3 linked regions of the Daphnia pulex genome follow. The protein of the gene in region 1 interacts with the protein of each later gene in a pairwise test. Links are inferred from orthologs where the notes say so. Each region holds a gene or a part of one and is shown in the gene's direction. Other genes may lie near its edges. The genes, in order: E3 ubiquitin-protein ligase parkin-like, mitochondrial import receptor subunit TOM70-like and cell cycle checkpoint protein RAD1-like.

Region 1 (6,449 bases):
TCTCTACAAACCAAACGGCCCTTTTCAGGGCCACCAAATTTTAAAGAAAGGAAAAACATCTAACTACTTTTGACATTTATTATCTAATCGAGTTCTAAACTGAACCCATATTGTTGATTAGTGCGACGGAACGTTAGGAAATACTGTGATCAAGAGCTTTTCTCTATCTTTCTGCTGAATTTTAAGTTTGGCAGATCCGGTTCAATGCGTTGATTTTACATATTCATTTGATTTAGAAAATGATTGATATTAAAATTTATCTCCGTTAGCAACTCCTTCTACATACTAAGGAACTAAGGAAGATTTTTGTTAAATATGAAAGTTAAAAATAAAAATACTGCGTAAAATCTGAGAAAACAATATCAATAACATAACAGCATCTCGATATTTTTCGATCGAGTTATTTGGATTAACATAGTTTCAGATCACAAGATCCTTTAGGACGCATTGCTCCAACACCTGCTATGTCAATCAAATCTTTCAAAGATGAAATAAAAGAATGATGCTTATTAATTCAAAATTCAAGGATTTTGTTCTTGTAGCAGCATAAAGTCGACAAGAATATGGTTTAAAAAGTGGTTAAGAAATCTTTTTCTTTAAGTAAATGGTGGCCCTGAAAAGGGCCGATTGGATTGAGTCAGGAGTTAAAATAATAAATCGGAATCAAATTTAACCGCCGAAGCCGTACAGAGTGCGGCCCTGGCGTTTCAATGCGTAGACGACGTCCATGGCCGTCACCGTCTTCCTCTTGGCGTGTTCAGTGTAGGTGACGGCGTCACGAATCACGTTCTCAAGGAACACCTTCAACACACCGCGGGTCTCCTCGTAGATGAGACCAGAGATTCGCTTGACACCACCACGACGGGCAAGACGACGGATGGCCGGCTTGGTGATTCCCTGGATGTTGTCACGCAAAACTTTGCGATGACGTTTGGCGCCTCCCTTGCCGAGTCCTTTTCCTCCTTTGCCGCGACCAGTCATTTTCAAATAAGTTTCAGAGATTTAAAAAATATCGAATGATGTTATGTTAAACTCACTATGGTCCCAATATATACCCTACCGGATCCTCAAGCTGAACTCCTATTGGTGGAACTCAGCTCCAGCCATCATTTGTCAACAAAAAGGATTTCCGTTATAAATTTTCTATTCCCTCCCATTTTTGAATTAACCAATCCCTAGCCAGTGAACTCGCTTAGCTCTGCAACGTCCGTAGGTTCCCCACATATACCAAGCACTTTTCACTAGTTAGGACATCTGAAATTTCACTCGCTCGAAATGGCTCGTACCAAGCAAACTGCTCGTAAATCCACCGGTGGCAAGGCGCCCCGCAAACAGTTGGCCACCAAAGCCGCTCGCAAGAGTGCCCCGGCCACTGGAGGAGTCAAGAAACCCCATCGTTATCGTCCCGGCACCGTCGCCCTTCGTGAGATCCGTCGCTACCAAAAGTCGACCGAGCTTCTGATCCGCAAGTTGCCATTCCAGCGCTTGGTCAGAGAAATCGCCCAGGATTTCAAGACAGATTTGCGTTTCCAGAGCTCGGCCGTCATGGCCCTGCAGGAGGCCAGCGAGGCTTACTTGGTGGGTCTTTTCGAAGACACCAACTTGTGCGCCATCCACGCCAAGCGAGTCACCATCATGCCAAAAGACATCCAGCTCGCTCGTCGTATTCGTGGTGAACGTGCCTAAGCGACCTTTTCCCTTTTGACTTACCAATCGGCCCTTTTCAGGGCCACCATTAGTTGCTTGAAAAGATTTTTCCTGCCAGACATTTCAATATCTTGGATTAAACTAGATCAGTATTGTTTAATTACCAACTTCTTTCTAATTTTCTGGAAATTAATAGTTGTATAAATTTCTTTCATCCAAGGTTGAATTTTAGAATAATTAGTTAGTTGCTATAAGAAGTGTAACGTTATATAAGACCTAAAACTAATTTAATTAAAAGTAACCCAGTAACATGATTTGGTCGACTTCTGTTGGGTTCGTCATTTTCAGTTAAAGTACGGATTTCGATAATTACTTATGTAAATAAACGTGTAGGTATGACCGAAAAAGAGGGGCTTACGAAAGAGGTTAAGTATATCAAGGATTTTTCGACATTACTTATTCTAGAAATTTACAGCAGTTTTTAGTTTGACAAGTTTAAGTTGACCTTCTAGAGCCATAAAAGCCTACAAGCCACAATCTCACTAAACACCAGAATAACAGATAATTTCGTTACCTTTTATATACTCTGCTAAATATAATAAGACGAAGTTGACTTGTTGATGAGAGTGACGAAGAGAAGGTGCTAGCGTCAACCTACTAACTAAATATTATGACGAAATTGTTGCTAGTCCATTTCACAGCAGACTGCAGACGACGTTTGTTCCAATTCATTTCAACCGAAGCCAACGTAAACAATATTTTCAGTTCGTGCCGGTATGCAATATAAAAATATAAAATATTTTTGGTTATTTAAATTATACATTTTTTACGTAGATATCTCGCTTTCATAATGTTCTTCAATCTTGGGTTTTTCACGTAAACCTACAGAATGATTAAATGGCTGTTGTCGCTCATACGTTCATTATTGAACAGAATTTTGAGATTTTTTTGGCCCAGTGATTCAAGTGAATTTACCCTGCCTGTTCACATAAAAGCTGCAGGAGGTAAAACATTTCTTATCGAAATGAGTCGAGATTGGGATGTAGCTCGGATCAAGAAATTTATAGCCCCTAAAGTTGGTCTGAAAGTTGAAGATATCAGCATTATTTTGGCTGGCAAAAGTCTTGCTGATGACTTGTTACTAGAGGTTTGTTAATTTCTTATATTGCTTTTGTTGATATTCTAAGTTTAATTTACCCAACAAATTTTTAGGAGTGTGATCTTGGTCATAATAGTATTCTAAATGCTGTTAAACTTAAAGTCATAAAAAAAACTGATGCAACTTCTTCCGAAGACAAAAATAGGAGAAATACACCATTTCATCAAGACAAGCCTCTTTGTGAAACATTGCTCGACTTGCAGTTAACTGAAGAGGAACAGAAATTGTTGCACAAATCTCTGGGTACGTCTGCAAATAGTTTTCCAAATCATTTTATGAATTCTGACAACTTCCTCGTTTTTAGCTTGTAGTTCTCCAGAGTATAAGCAAAAGAAAGCTCAGTTTTATGTTTACTGTGAATTTCCATGCAAATCAATACAAAGTGGTAAACTTCGAGTTCGATGTAGCCTTTGCAAAGCTGGTGCCTTCACCGTGGACCGAGATCCTTGCTGCTGGGATGATGTTTTACGACCGGAGCAAGTTAGTGGTACTTGTCAGATGGAAGATTGTGATCATTCGTGGGCCGAATTCTACTTCAAGTGCGCACATCACCCTTCACGAGGAGAGACTGACTCAACTCTTCCTCTGAATCTCGTCAAATCAAACTTCAAACAGGTTCAGTGCCTGGCCTGCATGGATATTAGGTAGCAATCGTTTTAAAGTTAAGATAGAATTCAGTAACTTGGCAACTTATTTTAATATCCCACTTTAGTGATCCTGTTTTGGTATTTCAATGTACCAACTCTCATGTGATATGTTTGGAGTGCTTCCAGCAATACTGTATGTCTCGATTGAACGAAAGGAGGTTTGTCTTCGATCCCAATATCGGTTATACCCTGCCTTGTCCAGCTGGATGTGAGAACTCATTGATCGACGGAACCCAGCACTTTAAAATTCTAGGAAATGAGCAGTACCAACGACTCCTGCACTTTGGAGCAGAGGAATATGTTATGTCGACAGGTGGTGTGCTTTGTCCACAACCTGGCTGTGGAATGGGCTTACTTGCGGACCCTTCTTGTCGCCGAATTCAATGCACAGGGGGATGTGAGGTAAGCATATTCTCATAAATATAACCTTGTTAAAAAATGTCTAAATGTTTTTCGCAACTCAGTTCGTGTTCTGCCGCGATTGCCTACAAGGCTATCACATCGACGAGTGTCAGACAAATGGAGAAAACAACTTTCAATCCATGTTGACAACCACCGAGTACGTTGTAGATCCCGGACGAGCTGCTCAGGTTTCTCTAATATCCACATTTGAGCTTGATTCTAGATTAAATGAGTAACATGAAATTATTTACTTAGGCGAGGTGGGATGCAGACAGTCGCGTTACCATACGTGTTACTTCAAAACCTTGCCCAAAGTGCCGAACGCCAACCGAGCGAGATGGTAAATTAAATTATGATCTGGGATTATTTCTCTAACGGTGTAGCTAATTTCTTGTTTGTTCACAGGAGGTTGTATGCACATGATCTGTACTCGACAACAGTGTGGATTTCATTGGTGCTGGGTTTGTCAAACGGAGTGGACAAGAGAGTGCATGGGAAGTCACTGGTTCGGATAAGACAACCTTTCCGCTTTCTTTATCAACCCTTTTATAAAGTACCGTGGTTCCTTGGTGTCGGGTAGTATAAGGGTGGAGAGTGTACATTTCTTTACGCTATACTAGTCAAGAAATTGATGACATTTGGTTCCTATAATAATCTAGACAAATCTGTTAATTGAAAATTGAAATGAATCATTTATCCGAAATATTCAAATGCTGTTCTAGGGAAGTCTTAAGAAGCCTTTAATTTTCCAACTGTCACAATCAAAATATTGCAAACATCCCGTGTTTCACCGATTGAAGGCCTAGACAAGATTTGTGTAATCGGCAGTCGAGGTATAGGGAATGATAAATACCCATATGTATAGCCAATGAAAATAAAGCCAGAAGATTCCCACTAGAAATAAATTTTTCAAGATTTTAAGCCTTTACAAGACGGTGATGAAATTGAATCCTTTTTCCCAATGAACAGAATGTTGAAGTCTCTGGCAAGTGAAAAAAAAGTCTCATTTCTACTGCAATCAGTCCTTGCCACTCTCTTCGTCATCATCATCGGTAGCAAATTCAGATTCGGAGCCTCCAGAGTTCTTATCTTCTTCATCCTCATCATCGGAAATATCCCATTGTGGATGCTCAGTAGGAATCTCCTCTGCTTCTTTAACGTCCATCTGTGAATTAAAATTTTAATCAATCAATAACCTATTTAGCAAAATTAAAATAATTAGCCGGAATATACCTTGATATCCTTCATTTGATCAAAACCAAAATATGAATCGGAGCGTAAACACACGGCGAACGTGTAGAATCCCGGCTTGAACGGAGCTGTGAATTTGAGTTGGATTTCTTCGTGCTCTACTAGATTGGTAATGTGATAGGGGGCGGTCAGAAGCATTTGTTGTTTCCGGTCCGTAATATAAGCCCACCAATATTCTTGTTTGTCTTCGGGATAGAACGGGCAGTACACCGAGTGCGAAAACTGACTTTTACCCTCCAGCAGCCTCTGGCGACGCATTGCAACATCACTCTGTAGCTTTTCTAATTGATCGTCGTCTTTCTCGGGCAAAGAACCATCATTGTTGGCTGCTTCCGCCTCGCCGTCGTCAGATTCGTCCAATTCAACTTCGTCCTCGGCTTCAACTTCACTACAACTTTCGGATTCTTCTTCCTTTGTCTTGTTAGCTGTTTTACTTGATGCTGCTGCAGTCTTCTTCTTATCTTCTACTTCCTTCTTTATTGGCTTTTTGCTGCCTTTTTTATTAGTAGCTCTCTTGCCTTTGTTTTTCTGCCACGGTAGTGACTTCTTTTTGGGTTCCTGTTTTTCTTCTTCTTCCGCTATCACTTCACCGTTCTCGAAAACTTCATTTGTTGTTTCCTTCTCGTTAGCGAACAGAACGCTCAAATCTCTCCTTGCCAAGGCGATCGTAACCTGATTTAAAAGAATGAGTTCTCCGACCGTTGAAACTATTTTGTAAAAATTCATCTTACCGTGACGATAGCGCCAGCTGTGTACTTTGTGGTGGATTCGTCATCCACTACTTCATATTTAATATTCATATCCACATAAGGCATTCCTCCCAGAGCGAGAACCAAATCATTGTATTGATTGTCGTCAAGATGACGTAAGCACTCGCGTCTATCTTCGTCCTTCAGTCGGGCTAGCTGTTCCAGCGAGCGGATCTGTTGCGACACAATGGCTCGTTAAAAAAACCATCTAACTTTTCAGCTTGATTAACACACAAAAATAATTACCTGATATCGCTTGCTGGAAAAGTACTTGAGATTTTCGTCGGTGATGTGAGGCAATTGCATGAGAGGACTCTTGCATTCCCAAAGTCCTTGAACGACCATGGCCGAAAGTTTCATACAACCTTCCAATGTGACCAGAGACGGCATGCGGCTCAGCCGCCCTGCATGGGCCAACATGATGAGTTGAGATACGCACACAACCATTTCTTGAATTAACGCGGGGCACTTCTTGATCTGTTGAAGAATGAATGTTCAAAGAAAATTTCTATGCGGTGTTTGAAATTAAAAAAAAAAAAATGCATACCACAGCACAGCGATCCTCTTCCAACGTCGACTGCGGCAGATCTAGTC
Region 2 (6,539 bases), on another chromosome or scaffold:
GCAATCAACTTCTGAAGAGACACGAAATCGCAATAGGATTGTGAACAAATTAAAAATGGTAAAACAAATTCGTAACCATGGAACGCACAACAAAATTCAAGATTCATATTGGCTAGAAGCAATGCTCACATGCATGATTGATCTCTGCCAAATGCTCAAACAACTCGGAATGGCCAGCAATCGATTAAGAATCTTCGAAGCGGATTGTGTCGAGCAATTAAAAAAATTGCGAAGGTTCAATGACTTGTTTTAGACTTTATGCGCCGGTGATTGGCGTCGCGTTATCATTCGAGCCATAAAAACTTTTGTGATGTTTAATTGCTAACTTGAATACAAAGGAGATTTAATCGAAAGACTCACTTCAATCATTTAACAGGTTTAATTTAAGTATTATATCTTATCTTACGGAAACAAACAACGGCTGACTAACTTGCAGTTAAATGTCTTTCTTCAAATCTTGTTTCTCAACGAAATTCACACGAAATTGTATTACAATTTCTAGATAACAGCACTTGGTATCCTTGGATTTGACTTCAAATTGAATTCTTGTTCAATCTTCAATGGCGTAAACGTTATTTTCTGTTTGTGACGACTTGCCTTCTTGGACTATACTGAAAATAGACTGAACCTTGTTTACGCTAATGTTGTTTACGTTGTCGCCGCCAGTTTTAAAATGAGATCTGGAGCAGAGCCTCAGATTCTTTTTCCTTATGTGGCGCTGCCAGGGCGCTGCTATACGTGGAGCAATAAAAGAAACAGCTAGCGCTTCAGCATGTATAGTTGTGATTGTTCGTTTTCAACTGGCCAAAAGTTTGAGTGTGATGCTGATGTAAATTAATATATCTATTTGAAAATCTAACCTTAAACCATTTACGGATCCATCACATATTTAATTTAACTTTAGGCACAGTTATTCTCAGCTAATCGTCCTTCAATATGAACCGTCCTCTGCTGAACCATTTCTGGCACTTTTCGAGTACCAACTGCCGGAGCATCTAACGACAGCACATCAAACTACTGCGCCTACCTTTCTATTCTATTCATACCTACGCTACGACTACGATTTGAAAAGTGGATATTGTTGTGATGGACTTTGTTCCACGTTGATAACTTGATCTGCGAAACCAAAAACCAGTGAAATCAAGTCTAACTGTCGTAAGTAATTCTTTTGTATGAAGTGGCTATGTTTTCTCGCAATAGTTAAATTATCGTTACGTTGTGTCTCGTCTACACCAAACGAGACTTTCTTTCGGCGACTTCGAATTGCTAGACCGCTATCGTAATCAGTATTTCTTTGTGTTTATTGTATTGTAGATAAACCACTTGGCGGCTGCTAATAAGTTAATTTTGCCGTCTATCTGTATCCTTTTAGTCTTACTGAACAACAGGCGTTTCCTATTCGCTATACCTTTCTTTGTGATTTGTATATTTCGTGACATTTTTTTGAATAAGTTTTTTTTTTGTTCAACTCCATAAGCAATAACGTCTTTCACTTTCAAAAAGTTTTTTCTTCCATCCTACCTTTATTTTGTTCACTTCTACTTCAAGCACACGACTTAAAAACATTATTTTAAACACACTATAGTGTGTTTAATAACATTATAATGTTATCTTAATAAAAATTCTTGCATGAAAACCGACATTCATTTCTGTAAATGTGTTAGGATTTGATTTGCTTTTATCATAATTGACGTAAATGAAAACGTTATTTTCTCTACTTAAATACGTGGGTTGTTCTAACTTCTAAACTACAGATAGAAATAACACGAGTTCAAGTAAGATTAGGTACACAACATGCATCGAAGAAGAACACATGTGTCACCTTTAAATTTAACACTCTGACTCGGAACCAAAGTTAAACAAACTACCGTAGTGGTGAAATGTCCATCAGTCGTCATGTGTTGTCGCAACAATCCAGTGATTTCAAGTGTTAACAAATCTTCTCAAAATATGTTGCTGATTTTTTGAGAATGCGTCTGCGGATGACGTCAGAGGGTTCGTGACTTTGAAAAATTATGATTGATAATGATTGGAATTTTTTTATTTGTAGTCAAGTTAATCGTACTATAATAAAGTTGGTATAAAATGCTAGTGAACACAGTTCACCATAAATTTACAAGATTTTGAACGCACCCGAAATCATAAAAAATCGATTAATTTTGTTATTTAAAAAACAGATTTAAATTTATTTAAATTGTTGATTATTACGCCAGAAAACGGGAAAAAGTGGTGTGATCCGGTTACCGATTGCATTTTATAGCACGAATATTGGGTAATTTAATTCAAATTCCCGCTTTAAGCCATCTAGTGTTCACGATTTCAACTGCGTTGCTGAAAAAAGCCGGTCTTAAAAAATACAGTCCCGAGCGTTGCACGTCGTCTGGAGTTTCCGTGACTGCTGACTGCATTCAACCAGGAAAAAAACATTTTACACAACAATGTCTGGATCCGCACGTGCAGGTTCCTCGTCCGGGCTTTCATTGCCTAAATGGCAAATAGCTTTAGCTATTGGAGCTCCAGTAGCCTTAGGTAAGTTTTTTCTAATTGCTTGTTAGACTTCAATTAAAATGGCTAATGTAAAGCACATGTGTGGCTTTTCCAGGACTCGGTATATGGTATTATCGATCGAGGAAAACTGGAATTCAGCCTGCAGACAAGGAAGACAAGCAGAGCAAGAAAAGTGTAGAAGATGTAGCTACTAGTGTCACAGTCACTGGTGAAACTCAACCACCCAAGAAAGCCAACGGAATAGATAACAGCACTGGAAAAAGTGCTGCTCCAGTGGTAGAAGAAGACCCTAACAAGCAGGCCCAAACATACAAGAACAAAGGCAATAAGTATTTCAAAGAAGGCAAATATTCAGATGCGATCAAGTGCTACCAACAAGCCATAGATATCTGTCCAAAAGACAACACAGATATTTCCCTTTTCCACCAGAACCGGGCAGCCGCCTTTGAACAACTGGTACCTATACAGAATGTTACTAACAATTCAACAACCTATAAATATTGCCTAACTCTCACAGAAAAACTATGAAGCTGTCATTAAAGACTGCACAGAAGCTCTCCAGTACAACTCAAAGTATGTCAAAGCTCTGCACAGAAGAGCAAAGGCCTATGAAATAACAAAGCAGTTAGAGGCATGCTTAGAAGATATTACCGCTGTATGCATATTGGAGGCCTTTCAGAATCAGTCATCATTATTGATGGCTGATAGAGTGCTTAAAGATTTAGGTAACTTTTCCCCCATTTCTTTACCTCCAGAATAATTTGAAAAGAGACGTTGATCGATCCACGCAGGGAAGGAACATGCCAAAGAAGCCATGCTAAACCGACAGTCTGTCATTCCGTCCAAACACTCTGTCAACACTTTCATGTGTTCTTTTGCGGAAGACCCCGTTTTTAATCTACTAAAACAGGACAATACGATGGTAAAAGCAAACAGAATTATTCATTTGGTTTCGTTTCCTCTTATCTGTAATCTTATCTCTCAGCAACCAGAAACAGATGAAGAAAAGAGCTATTTCGCCAAAGCCTTGGACAAGTTGAGAGAGAAAGAATTCGACCCCATTATTGAATTGTGCACGAATGAACTCGAATCTGAAGCGGTAGGGAAATAGGACAGTAAATTTTTGAAACCTTAATTTCACAGTATCTTGTCTCTTTATTAACAGGGTGACATAACAATCAAAAGACTTGCAAGGCTTCTACGAGGAACGTTCCTTTCCCTACTTGGCGAGCATGAAAAAGCCTTGGACGATTTTTCTTCAGTATTCAACGACCCTGAAACAGACCCCAAGGTGAAATTAATATACAAAAACATTCTCCCCATATTTATCTCAACGTATTTGTCAATTTTTAGGTTAGGGTGAACGCCTTGGTGAAAAGGGCCACTCTCCGGATGCAACTTGGTTCCCCTGAAGAAAGTTTACACGATTTGCTGATGGCCGCCGAGCTCGGGCCAGAAAATGCTGACGTCTTCCATCACAGAGGACAGGTATATCCGTTTTTGACTTTCATGAATTTAAAAGGTTTCACTAAATTGTATTCCACCCTCTTGTCAGGTTTACATGTTGCTGGATCAAGCCAGTGAAGCCATGAGTGATTTCGCCAAAGCTGTTTCTCTGAATGGAGATTTTCCCATTGCTCTTGTCCAGAAGCTCTACACAGACTACCGAGCCGCTGTAGCGATGAGCAACGCCGGAGAAGTCGTTGCATCATTGGCAGCGTTCGAAGATGCCATCCGCCGATTCCCTACTTGCCCTGAATGCTTCCTTCTCTATGCACAAGTCAGTTGGAACCCTAATTATTCATTTGTTGTGGACAGTATCTTATTTTTTTTCTTTTTCTAATCGGTTTTGTTATCAGGTGTTGTCTGATCAACAAGAGTTTGTGAAGGCCGACGAGTTGTTTATGAAAGCTCTTGAAGTGGACCCTCACAACGCCACTGCATATGTGCATAGAGGTACTGAAATGTCTGTTTAATTTTAGGAGCTGGGGAGCTATAATTAAAACTCTTATCTTGTCGGACGCAGGTCTGCTCCAGCTGCAGTCTACTGGTAACGTTGAATTGGCAACTAAGCATATCGAAGAGGCTATACGAATGGATGACAAGTGCGAATTCGCATACGAGACTCTTGGTACGATCGAAGTTCAACGCGGCAACCTACGACGGGCGATCGAGCTTTTTGATAAAGCTATTCCGTTATCGAAAACGGAAGCCGAGGTTTCGCACCTCTTTTCATTGAAAGATGCAGCTCTGGCCCAACTTAAAGTGGCCCTTAATCTTGGCGTCACCCTACCTTCTGCCATGAACTGATGACGACTAAGAAAGAAAAAGAAAAAAAACGATTTGACTATTTCCTGAATTCCCTGTAGACTTAAGTCTTTCACAACTTATTATGGAATCGACCTTAAAACGCAAATTTAGCTTGAATAACCGAGTCACCGTCTTGTTCGTCAGGGTTTGTTTTGTTAAATGTGGGTAGTAATATTTGTAATAAAAGAAACAAGAACAATGTCAAGTTTTCATTTCAAAATGTGTATCAAGGGTTTTTTTTCTTCATTAAATTGTTATTTAAGCACACTCACAAGCAAATCAGACATATGTCAAATTGTCAACACACACTCGTAAAGGAATTGTTTGAAAATCACTTGACCAGGGGTCGGTTCTTCTCCTCTGTAATCAAATATAAGGTTAAGATTTGGTGTAAATCACAGAATATAGAGCAATATCACCTTCATCACCAAGCCGTTCCTTGTATTTCTTCACTTCACTCATGTACTGGGACCAGGCATCTGTTTTCCCCTATTGAATGTATAAAAGACAAATGTTAAAAACATATTTTGAGCCAGGGATAAATATGGAAACTTACACTACTTTCTTCTTCTTCCTCGGGTCGTTTCTGCTTCTTAACAACTCCAACGGGAAGGGATTTGCCACCACGGCGTTTTCCAACCTGTACGGATATAGAAATGACTCGCCCGTTAGTGTCGTTCAGCTATAACTTTGAATCTGAAACCGCCGCGAATGTCGGGCTAGGATATCATCCTTGGGATCACTGGAAGAGATACGTCTGTTTAAACGATTCAACAACTGAGTTGGTTCTCTGGAGAATCTGGAGGAAGAAGACTTACGATGGACATGAGACCAGGTTTCTTCTGTTGAACAGGTTGTGGTGATGCTGCTGAGGCTGCTGGTTCCTCTTCCTTTTTCGTAGAGCATTTCTTTTCAGCTGAAGAAGAAGTGTCTGTATCTTTCACCAGCTGCTGTTCGTGTACAGTCTTCTCAGGTACTTGGGTTTGACTGTTTTCCTGCATCTTTTTGAACATTTCCAGGAAACTTCCGTCATTTTTGAACTTGACAGCAGTCGGTCCGGGTTTTCCCGATGGTTCTTCTTCAGAATCTTCTTCATCAGAACTATCACTTGAGCTTTCCAGCAATTCGCCTTCTTCTCTGGGGGAAGCCATTTTTCTTTTGACAAACAAACAAATTTTCCGCTAGGTGTCAGCATAAACGATGACAATGCCTGGGGATAGAAATGCGCAACTACGAAAATATAAATAATTCAATAAATAATATCAGGAATTCGACGCAACAATTAAAAACTGATAAGAGAGCCATATCCGCAAAAGATTTTTGTTTCTAAAATATTTATGTTTTGTTTTCATTCCTCGGTATTTTTCATTTTAATTTCTGAAATGGAGATGAAACACTCGCCGACGGTTTCAGATGACCAAATCAATGTCAAAACAGAACAGCCGTGTTAAGGGGAGTGGGGTGACTCGGCGGACTTGTTTCAAATCCATCAAAAAAAGAAAGAAAAACCGTCGTGGATCGTATCGTGTTGCTGATGGATCCGCTGTCAAATAATTGTGTGCAGACATTAACTCATTTATCTTGACGTGAAAAACAAATTGGTGCGCATTAAAATCTTATTAAAATATCTCGAGTGAAATATCTTATTGACTCAGGTCGTTTGTCCCAAAAATTGAACTCGTTTGAACTCGCTGTTGAAAAGTTATAAAACATGTTTTTTA
Region 3 (6,430 bases), on another chromosome or scaffold:
CTGAGCTCAGCCTGGCCTTGAAGAGGGCAGAGACACAGAGAGTCGATTGCCCGGCCGGGCTAAGAGACTGATATGGCAGGCAAAGGATAAAAGAAGAAGAAAATAAACAAGTAGGGCCCCCACCACTGGACTACCACCACCACCACCCACACACCCATTTTGCTCTCGCCCGCCGATTTGCCTTCATCTCAGAAAAAAAGGCCTGTGATGGAATGGCACGTGAGATGTTCACGTGTTCAGATCAATGGACTCACGCACACACACAGGCAAGTGGCTGTGCTCTGGCCACCACAGCCCTGGCCCATTGCCCAAGACGAAGAGATCACAGGGGGGGGGAAAGGCAAAGTGCCCTTCGCCCCGCTTCTTGCATCACTGCTGCATGGCTGAGGGGAGGGGAGGGAAAAAATGGGCCGTGATACCTTGCATGTAATGTTGGATCCATTTCTTTTTGGGTGCCGAAGTCATGGTGCTGCTACGACCCACCAACTCCTCCGTAGCAAACACCCCCATGACCATCGATTGTAACTGGATATGAGTCGATTCATTCACCATCCGCTAGTCAACTCGAAACGGCCCGTAGTTTCCAATGCTCCCCAGAGGAAAAAACAAAAACAAAAACAAAACGACGACCACTGGGAGGGAGGAAAAATTGTTGCCGAGTCGCATTCAACAGTCACAACGCATTGCAAAATAACTCACAGGGGCCCCCCACCACCACCACCGTGGCGATGACGTCGTAACACACAAGATGCGCGCGCGCAAACTCCCAAACATACATACACACACACACACGTCCACACACGGGGAGCCACACTCACACAAATAAAATGATAATATATTAAAGAGTCTCTCTCTCTCTCTGCACTAGCCGACCTTCGATCGTAGACTGGTGAGCCAGTATCCGTTGCGGCTGCACTACGGCGTGAGTGGCGACCTCCTTCTCCTCCTCCTCCTCCACCTACCATCATCACTTGCCACCCGTTACCGCACGCTCTCCCTCCCTCCCCCCTCTCTTATATAATCAGCCATGTCGTTGGCTGCGTGCGCGACGACTTTGTTTTCACTCCCGGACTCTCTCTCTTTCCTATCTAGCTCTTGACCTCCCCCATCCGCTCTACAATGCACACCACCACCCTCCCAGTGCGAGCGGGATACACACACACACACACACTGGTTAGCACGTGCGGGTTGTGGAACCGAAGTGGGCGGGGCTTTGCCACCCTTTTTTCGGATCTATTTCGGCGTGTTACCCGCGCACGCACGCCACTCTCCCCGAGATTCGCAGTTGCGCAAATAGATCGCTCTCCTCACCCACCTCTCTCTCTCCCACTCCCGACACCCGTTCTTGCTTGTTCTTGGCGAGCCTGGAAAAATAAAAGAGGAGGAGGAGCTTTTTTGAATGGACTGTTGCCAACGTCAAAATGCCAATGCGCAGGCTCTAACTTCGTAGAGATCGAGGTCAACAATCGATGTCGACATTCTCGATGACCGTAGTGTGACGTTGGGGAAGAAGAAGAAATAAAATAAAAAAGACACGCTCCAACAGAGGCACCTGGCGGGGGCAATTACAGATTCAAAGGCCAGAAAACCAAAAGATTGATGAGCTCATATCCTCCAACACCAAACACAATAGGGAACTGATTCACAACCTTTGGCTCTGCAGAGCTCGAGAAATTCAAGACTGGGGGTGCACGAGCTTCTAAGCAGTCTGATATTATAAAGACTTTGCATGCACAAACTGATGTCAGTATGAGCAATCCTGCTTGTTTCTAGGAGGGAACGGGGACTAGATTAAACTTGTGCAAAGCAATTACCTTGGGTCTGTCGCTCTACAAATAGAGCGGCTTCCAGGAGAATCTCCAAACTCATTGTTGGACAACCACCAGCCGCTGAGTGTTAGACCTGTGGGTCAAGAAGACACAAACAGTTTTAGTCAACAGTGTAACAGCATTGAACAACAACGATGACATCCAGGATCCACATTGCATCAATATCAAATGAAAAAAAAAATAAAAATTCACACAGACGCACGCACACAGGGTCATTCGCTTTTGGGTTTCAGTACTCGTTTCATTTTGGCCTGAGGCTGGCGGCCTTGAATGAGCTCTCTATAGTCTATCAAAAGAAAACTTTTAACAAGAGGAAAATGCCTCTTTGTTTGCTTGCTTTTAATGTCTAAACTAAATGCGACAAGAATTAAATCGGCAAAAGATACTGCATTTAGTCGAAAAACCAAAGTCACTCTGATCGCCAAAGTGACGTTTGAAAACTAACACTACATCACAAGATAATATTATCGAGAAAAACTACGCACTTCAAGCGAGGCACCAGGCTACACGTGTCCCAGCGATGACGTCACCAAAATGGGCGTCACCGATTTTTGCCTTTAGGTTTTCTTGGGGGCGCCGAAGCTACTACTATTGCTGCTTGCCGAGTAGTCTACGTGCCGAATTACTGGGTTATAAATGCCGGTAAATCAAACAATCGAAACTCGATTGCACACATACTTAGCCACAAAAGAATTACACTTCACTTCACGGTTTAAGTCTCAGCACCGAAAAAGACGTTTGGGCTGTTTTTTGTCTTGTATCTGTTATCACGTTGCTCCTCGCACGTGAAAGAGAACTGCTCCCCTTCAACACCGCCAACTAAGGCGGTACCGAACTGAGTACACGCGTCGACCGCTACAACAACGATACTGGCGGCAAGTTTTCTCCCTCGCTCCGAACCATCAACAGCCATCAACTTGGTTCTTTTTTCATTCGTCCTTTACTGCTTTTATGTATTTTTATTTAAAATTTCATCTTTTCATGACTTTTACATTTAAATTCATTTCCCGCTGCCTTAATCAGTTGAAAACTATGTTTGGAAGCCAAAACATTTCTAGGTGGCGCAATGGTCGCATACGACCAATGGGCGTGCTCATTTTCGAATTCCCCATCTCTAAACTGTTGTTTTCTCGCGTTGTACAACGCCGCAATGTTTCTGACTTTCTGTTTAATAATAACAATATTTTCCTGTTTGAATCAATAAGCCGGTAGGCTTTTTCGTCGTCTCGAGATTAAAACTTGAAATTTTTACTTCCATTCCATTGCAGACAGTTTAGCACTTTTTAAATCCAACAAATTTGATTGTGCTGTATAGTTGATTGTGATAAACACAACCAGATTTTGAATTCAGTCAAAACTAGAATAATTCGTCTCGAATCATAGTTCTCTTGGATGTAACAGTTGGGTCGGTTCATTTTTTGTGCAGTACATTTTTCTGTAAAAAATCCTAGCCTTATTAACCAGAACATTTTTTCACTGATCATTTCAGGATGATCCTTTAGGAACCCTTTGCATAATTCTCAAAACTACTCCCACAACATTAAAGAGCAAACGAGTCCCACATTCACCATGCCAAATTTTCCATTTCAAAACACGTCTGGAGACCAAAGTCACATCTTGATGATACGTATGGATAATGCAAAAATTATCTCACATATCCTCAAATCCATAAATTTCAAAGAGGTAAATTCTTCAAGAATTGTAATACAGAGAAAACATGTTTTGTTAGCGATCAAAAGCTAATCCTATTACATCCTTCTTGTGATTTTGCTTTCCTTTCAGAATTCCGTATTTTGCTGTACTAGAGATGGATTAAAAGTCACAGTTGAAGACATGAAAAGTGTCCAGCTAAATGCCTTTATAGAGCCTGGAGTTTTTCAAGTAAAAAGAATTCACAAAAACAATAATTTTCACAAAATTTACTAACTCTTTGAAATTTAGAGTTATGTTATTAAAGAAGATGAGATTAAATTTCAGCTTAATTTAACTGTGCTTCTGGAATGTTTGAATGTATTTGGCTCTAACAACCTTCAAAGTGGCAGCACACCAGCCTTGAAACTCTACTATAACGGCCATGGGACTCCCGTTTCTATCTTGTATGTAAAACTACAAAGAATAATCGTTCTTTATACTTATTTCGAATTATAATTTTTTTTTTTGGCAGGCTGGAAGAATCAGGAGTTATCACTGACTGCAAGATACGTACAGTTCATTTTGATCCTGTCCTGGATTACGATTTTGGGTCGGCTAACGTCATCGGTCGTATCATTATGAGTTCGGAATGTCTTAAAGGTAATTAAGCGTTGAAAGAAGACAGAAATTTCCTAATATAATTATTGTTTTTATAGAGGTGTTTTGTGAGTTGGACTCGACTAGTGATACTGTTCAGTTTTCTTTGTCACCTGATTCGTCAAATTTTCGTATCACAACATTTGGTCATTCAGGAACTTATCATGTAAATCACGTTGTAAAGTTTTTAGTGAAGCGCGTTCTAATTCTAAACGTTTTGGGTTTCAAGGTCGATATTCCGAAAGAGAGCGATGTAATAGAAACTCTTCGTTGTACCTCGGCAGTGTCCTTTAAGTACGAAATAGATACACATACATAATAAGGCGTACACGATGTATTAGCTCAATTTCTGACTTTAGATACAAGCTCTCCTTGATGAAACCATCCATCAAACCCCTTGGAATAGCGCAAAAGGTTTCGCTACGAATCGACGATACGGGGCTCATATGTTTCCAATTCATGATCAAGGTAGAAGACAACCACAACTGTTACATCGATTTTTACGTAAGTTCATTTTTTTTTCCAAGTTCTATCCGTCAAATTACGTTTTACAACCGTCCTCTCCCTTATACACTCTAATAATTGATTTCTTATAGTGCCCTGCGGACGTCGACTTCGACGACGACGAATGAATGCCACGAGAACGAATTATTGACCGCATCACTAAAACGAAAAAAATGCCCTAGAATTATTCTAGAACGAAGATCTTTGAAAACCTTAGAAAAAACTAAAAAGCCAGCAGTTGTCTTTCATGTACAAAGTTTGTTGTTGTTCATATTTCATGATTATCATGAACGACTCCATTAAACCACGCCGGTTGGCAAGCTATTATCCTCGTTCTTGCTTTCCAATGAAAAGGGAGGGATGCGACAGTCAAAGGTGTGCCCATCTTCTCTCTCCATTCGAAACGTTCCCCTGTTCATAAAAAAAATAAATTATTTGAACTTGGCTGTTGTACTCTTTAATAAATAGTGAAAAATAACTTGAAATTACCACATATGCCCTGATGGTGCTTGTAGTGAAATATGGCTGCTATACTGGAACGCTGGTTGTTCGGGTGACAAGACCGGTTCCTTAAGAACGATTTAATGTTACATTCTAATTTTGAACGGTGGTTATTGACGTTAATTACCTGTCCAATTACTCCTCTTCCTCGAACCGTTTCTAGGGTACCCGAAAGACTGAAAATACGCCAGTGCCGTTCACGTAATTGTACAGACAGTTCTCCCAAGTTTTCGAGCCGGATACAGTAACGCCACTGCAAAAGTTAAAAATTACATTTGTAAAAAATTTGATTCACATTACCAATGGAACGAACCCAAAAGACAGTTGAATTTTGGGATTCTCGGCATCCCATGTAAAAAGGAGTAACGGTTACACGGATATTCTCTGTCGTTTCTTTGTGTACATCTGATAATTCCAGCCAAGGGTGATTTCTTTCTTGCCACGCTCGCAACGTCTCTCTTGCTTCAAACGGAGGATCTGCACTTTATATATCGATGATTCGTGTTAAAAAAATTCGATAGTAGATTCGCAATGTAGCTGGGCGGGAAAACATTAACCTTTATCGGGGTCAGGCATAAGAAATTTGTCAAAAAGCTCGTGACATAAGGGTTGGTGCTCAGTGGTTCGATACGGCAAGATATCTTCGTGAGCAGCATAGTCCAGACCAGGAATAGCATAAAGCGACTTGCTATTTTCTTGTTGACCTAAAAATGTGACCGCTTCTGTTTGTGCTCTCTTAATAAACAGAAATCTAGTTTTACTAAATGTGCTCCTGAAAACTGAAAAGGTCATCAGCTTAAGAAAAGTTAAATACTCACAATATGAGGACAGTCGCGGGAATCAATGAGCACCTGATAGTAAGTATGGTTTTTCCCTTTTACTTCTCTTCCAACTTGATTAGAGGTATTAACATCAGTATCAGGAGTTCTGTATTTTTTTTAAGTACAGGATTAGCAAGTATTTCATGAGAGATGATGTAAGCTATGTCTGCAAAAGCTTGTCCCTTGCACATATATTATGGAAAACAAAACTTTGTTTTTACAGTACTATTCTTAGATCTTTTTCAATGGCAATGGAAATGAAAATGTTACAGTAACAGAAATGCAATATGGAATTTAGAGTGGACATGTTGAATTAACATTTTACAAATCCTAAAGCTAGCAGAGTTTGAGATTCTCTGCTGTGTTGAGATATTGTTGGTGTAGCTGGAATTGATGAACTACCTCACATTCACATTGCTAAAGTATAGTCTTCCAAGAATAATGTGTTTACAATAAGATACCTTACAATATAAAGGGTACATACTT

Evidence for each region.
Region 2: the proteins of E3 ubiquitin-protein ligase parkin-like (region 1) and mitochondrial import receptor subunit TOM70-like come close enough for resonance energy transfer, tested with the Homo sapiens proteins (3 studies listed by BioGRID). The link is inferred for Daphnia pulex from reciprocal best matches to the Homo sapiens genes PRKN and TOMM70.
Region 3: the proteins of E3 ubiquitin-protein ligase parkin-like (region 1) and cell cycle checkpoint protein RAD1-like interact in binary tests that used the Homo sapiens proteins (3 or more experiments, as listed by UniProt). The link is inferred for Daphnia pulex from reciprocal best matches to the Homo sapiens genes PRKN and RAD1.

What each region holds. Positions count from the first base shown.
Region 1 is NC_060026.1:3,260,034-3,266,482, forward strand, and holds E3 ubiquitin-protein ligase parkin-like, read left to right. Parts: upstream 1-2,310; 5' UTR 2,311-2,421; intron 2,422-2,481; 5' UTR 2,482-2,536; coding exon 2,537-2,794; intron 2,795-2,859; coding exon 2,860-3,049; intron 3,050-3,110; coding exon 3,111-3,450; intron 3,451-3,518; coding exon 3,519-3,855; intron 3,856-3,917; coding exon 3,918-4,043; intron 4,044-4,110; coding exon 4,111-4,195; intron 4,196-4,260; coding exon 4,261-4,370; 3' UTR 4,371-4,873; coding exon of another isoform or gene 4,874-5,020; 3' UTR 5,021-5,082; downstream 5,083-6,449. Other genes in the region: histone H4, read right to left, coding at 670-981; histone H3, read left to right, coding at 1,276-1,686; translocation protein SEC63 homolog, read right to left, coding at 4,874-5,020, 5,089-5,778, 5,838-6,029, 6,102-6,332, 6,403-6,449. UniProt on the Homo sapiens protein: Functions within a multiprotein E3 ubiquitin ligase complex, catalyzing the covalent attachment of ubiquitin moieties onto substrate proteins. Substrates include SYT11 and VDAC1.
Region 2 is NC_060019.1:2,587,889-2,594,427, forward strand, and holds mitochondrial import receptor subunit TOM70-like, read left to right. Parts: upstream 1-2,348; 5' UTR 2,349-2,438; coding exon 2,439-2,529; intron 2,530-2,602; coding exon 2,603-2,964; intron 2,965-3,025; coding exon 3,026-3,233; intron 3,234-3,299; coding exon 3,300-3,430; intron 3,431-3,493; coding exon 3,494-3,607; intron 3,608-3,673; coding exon 3,674-3,799; intron 3,800-3,861; coding exon 3,862-3,996; intron 3,997-4,063; coding exon 4,064-4,288; intron 4,289-4,367; coding exon 4,368-4,464; intron 4,465-4,534; coding exon 4,535-4,818; 3' UTR 4,819-5,017; downstream 5,018-6,539. Other genes in the region: uncharacterized protein LOC124189772, read left to right, coding at 1-253; telomerase RNA component interacting RNase-like, read right to left, coding at 5,150-5,178, 5,238-5,307, 5,375-5,458, 5,637-5,969. UniProt on the Homo sapiens protein: Acts as a receptor of the preprotein translocase complex of the outer mitochondrial membrane (TOM complex). Recognizes and mediates the translocation of mitochondrial preproteins from the cytosol into the mitochondria in a chaperone dependent manner.
Region 3 is NC_060028.1:2,683,627-2,690,056, forward strand, and holds cell cycle checkpoint protein RAD1-like, read left to right. Parts: upstream 1-2,655; 5' UTR 2,656-2,782; exon of another isoform or gene 2,783-3,234; intron 3,235-3,293; exon of another isoform or gene 3,294-3,318; 5' UTR 3,319-3,398; coding exon 3,399-3,512; intron 3,513-3,611; coding exon 3,612-3,710; intron 3,711-3,770; coding exon 3,771-3,925; intron 3,926-3,993; coding exon 3,994-4,121; intron 4,122-4,177; coding exon 4,178-4,284; intron 4,285-4,347; coding exon 4,348-4,412; intron 4,413-4,437; exon of another isoform or gene 4,438-4,477; coding exon 4,478-4,697; 3' UTR 4,698-4,714; coding exon of another isoform or gene 4,715-4,750; 3' UTR 4,751-4,921; coding exon of another isoform or gene 4,922-5,033; 3' UTR 5,034-5,066; downstream 5,067-6,430. Other genes in the region: uncharacterized protein LOC124209761, read right to left, coding at 420-552; polymerase delta-interacting protein 2-like, read right to left, coding at 4,922-5,033, 5,112-5,191, 5,251-5,376, 5,437-5,600, 5,681-5,858, 5,942-6,050, 6,429-6,430. UniProt on the Homo sapiens protein: Component of the 9-1-1 cell-cycle checkpoint response complex that plays a major role in DNA repair. The 9-1-1 complex is recruited to DNA lesion upon damage by the RAD17-replication factor C (RFC) clamp loader complex.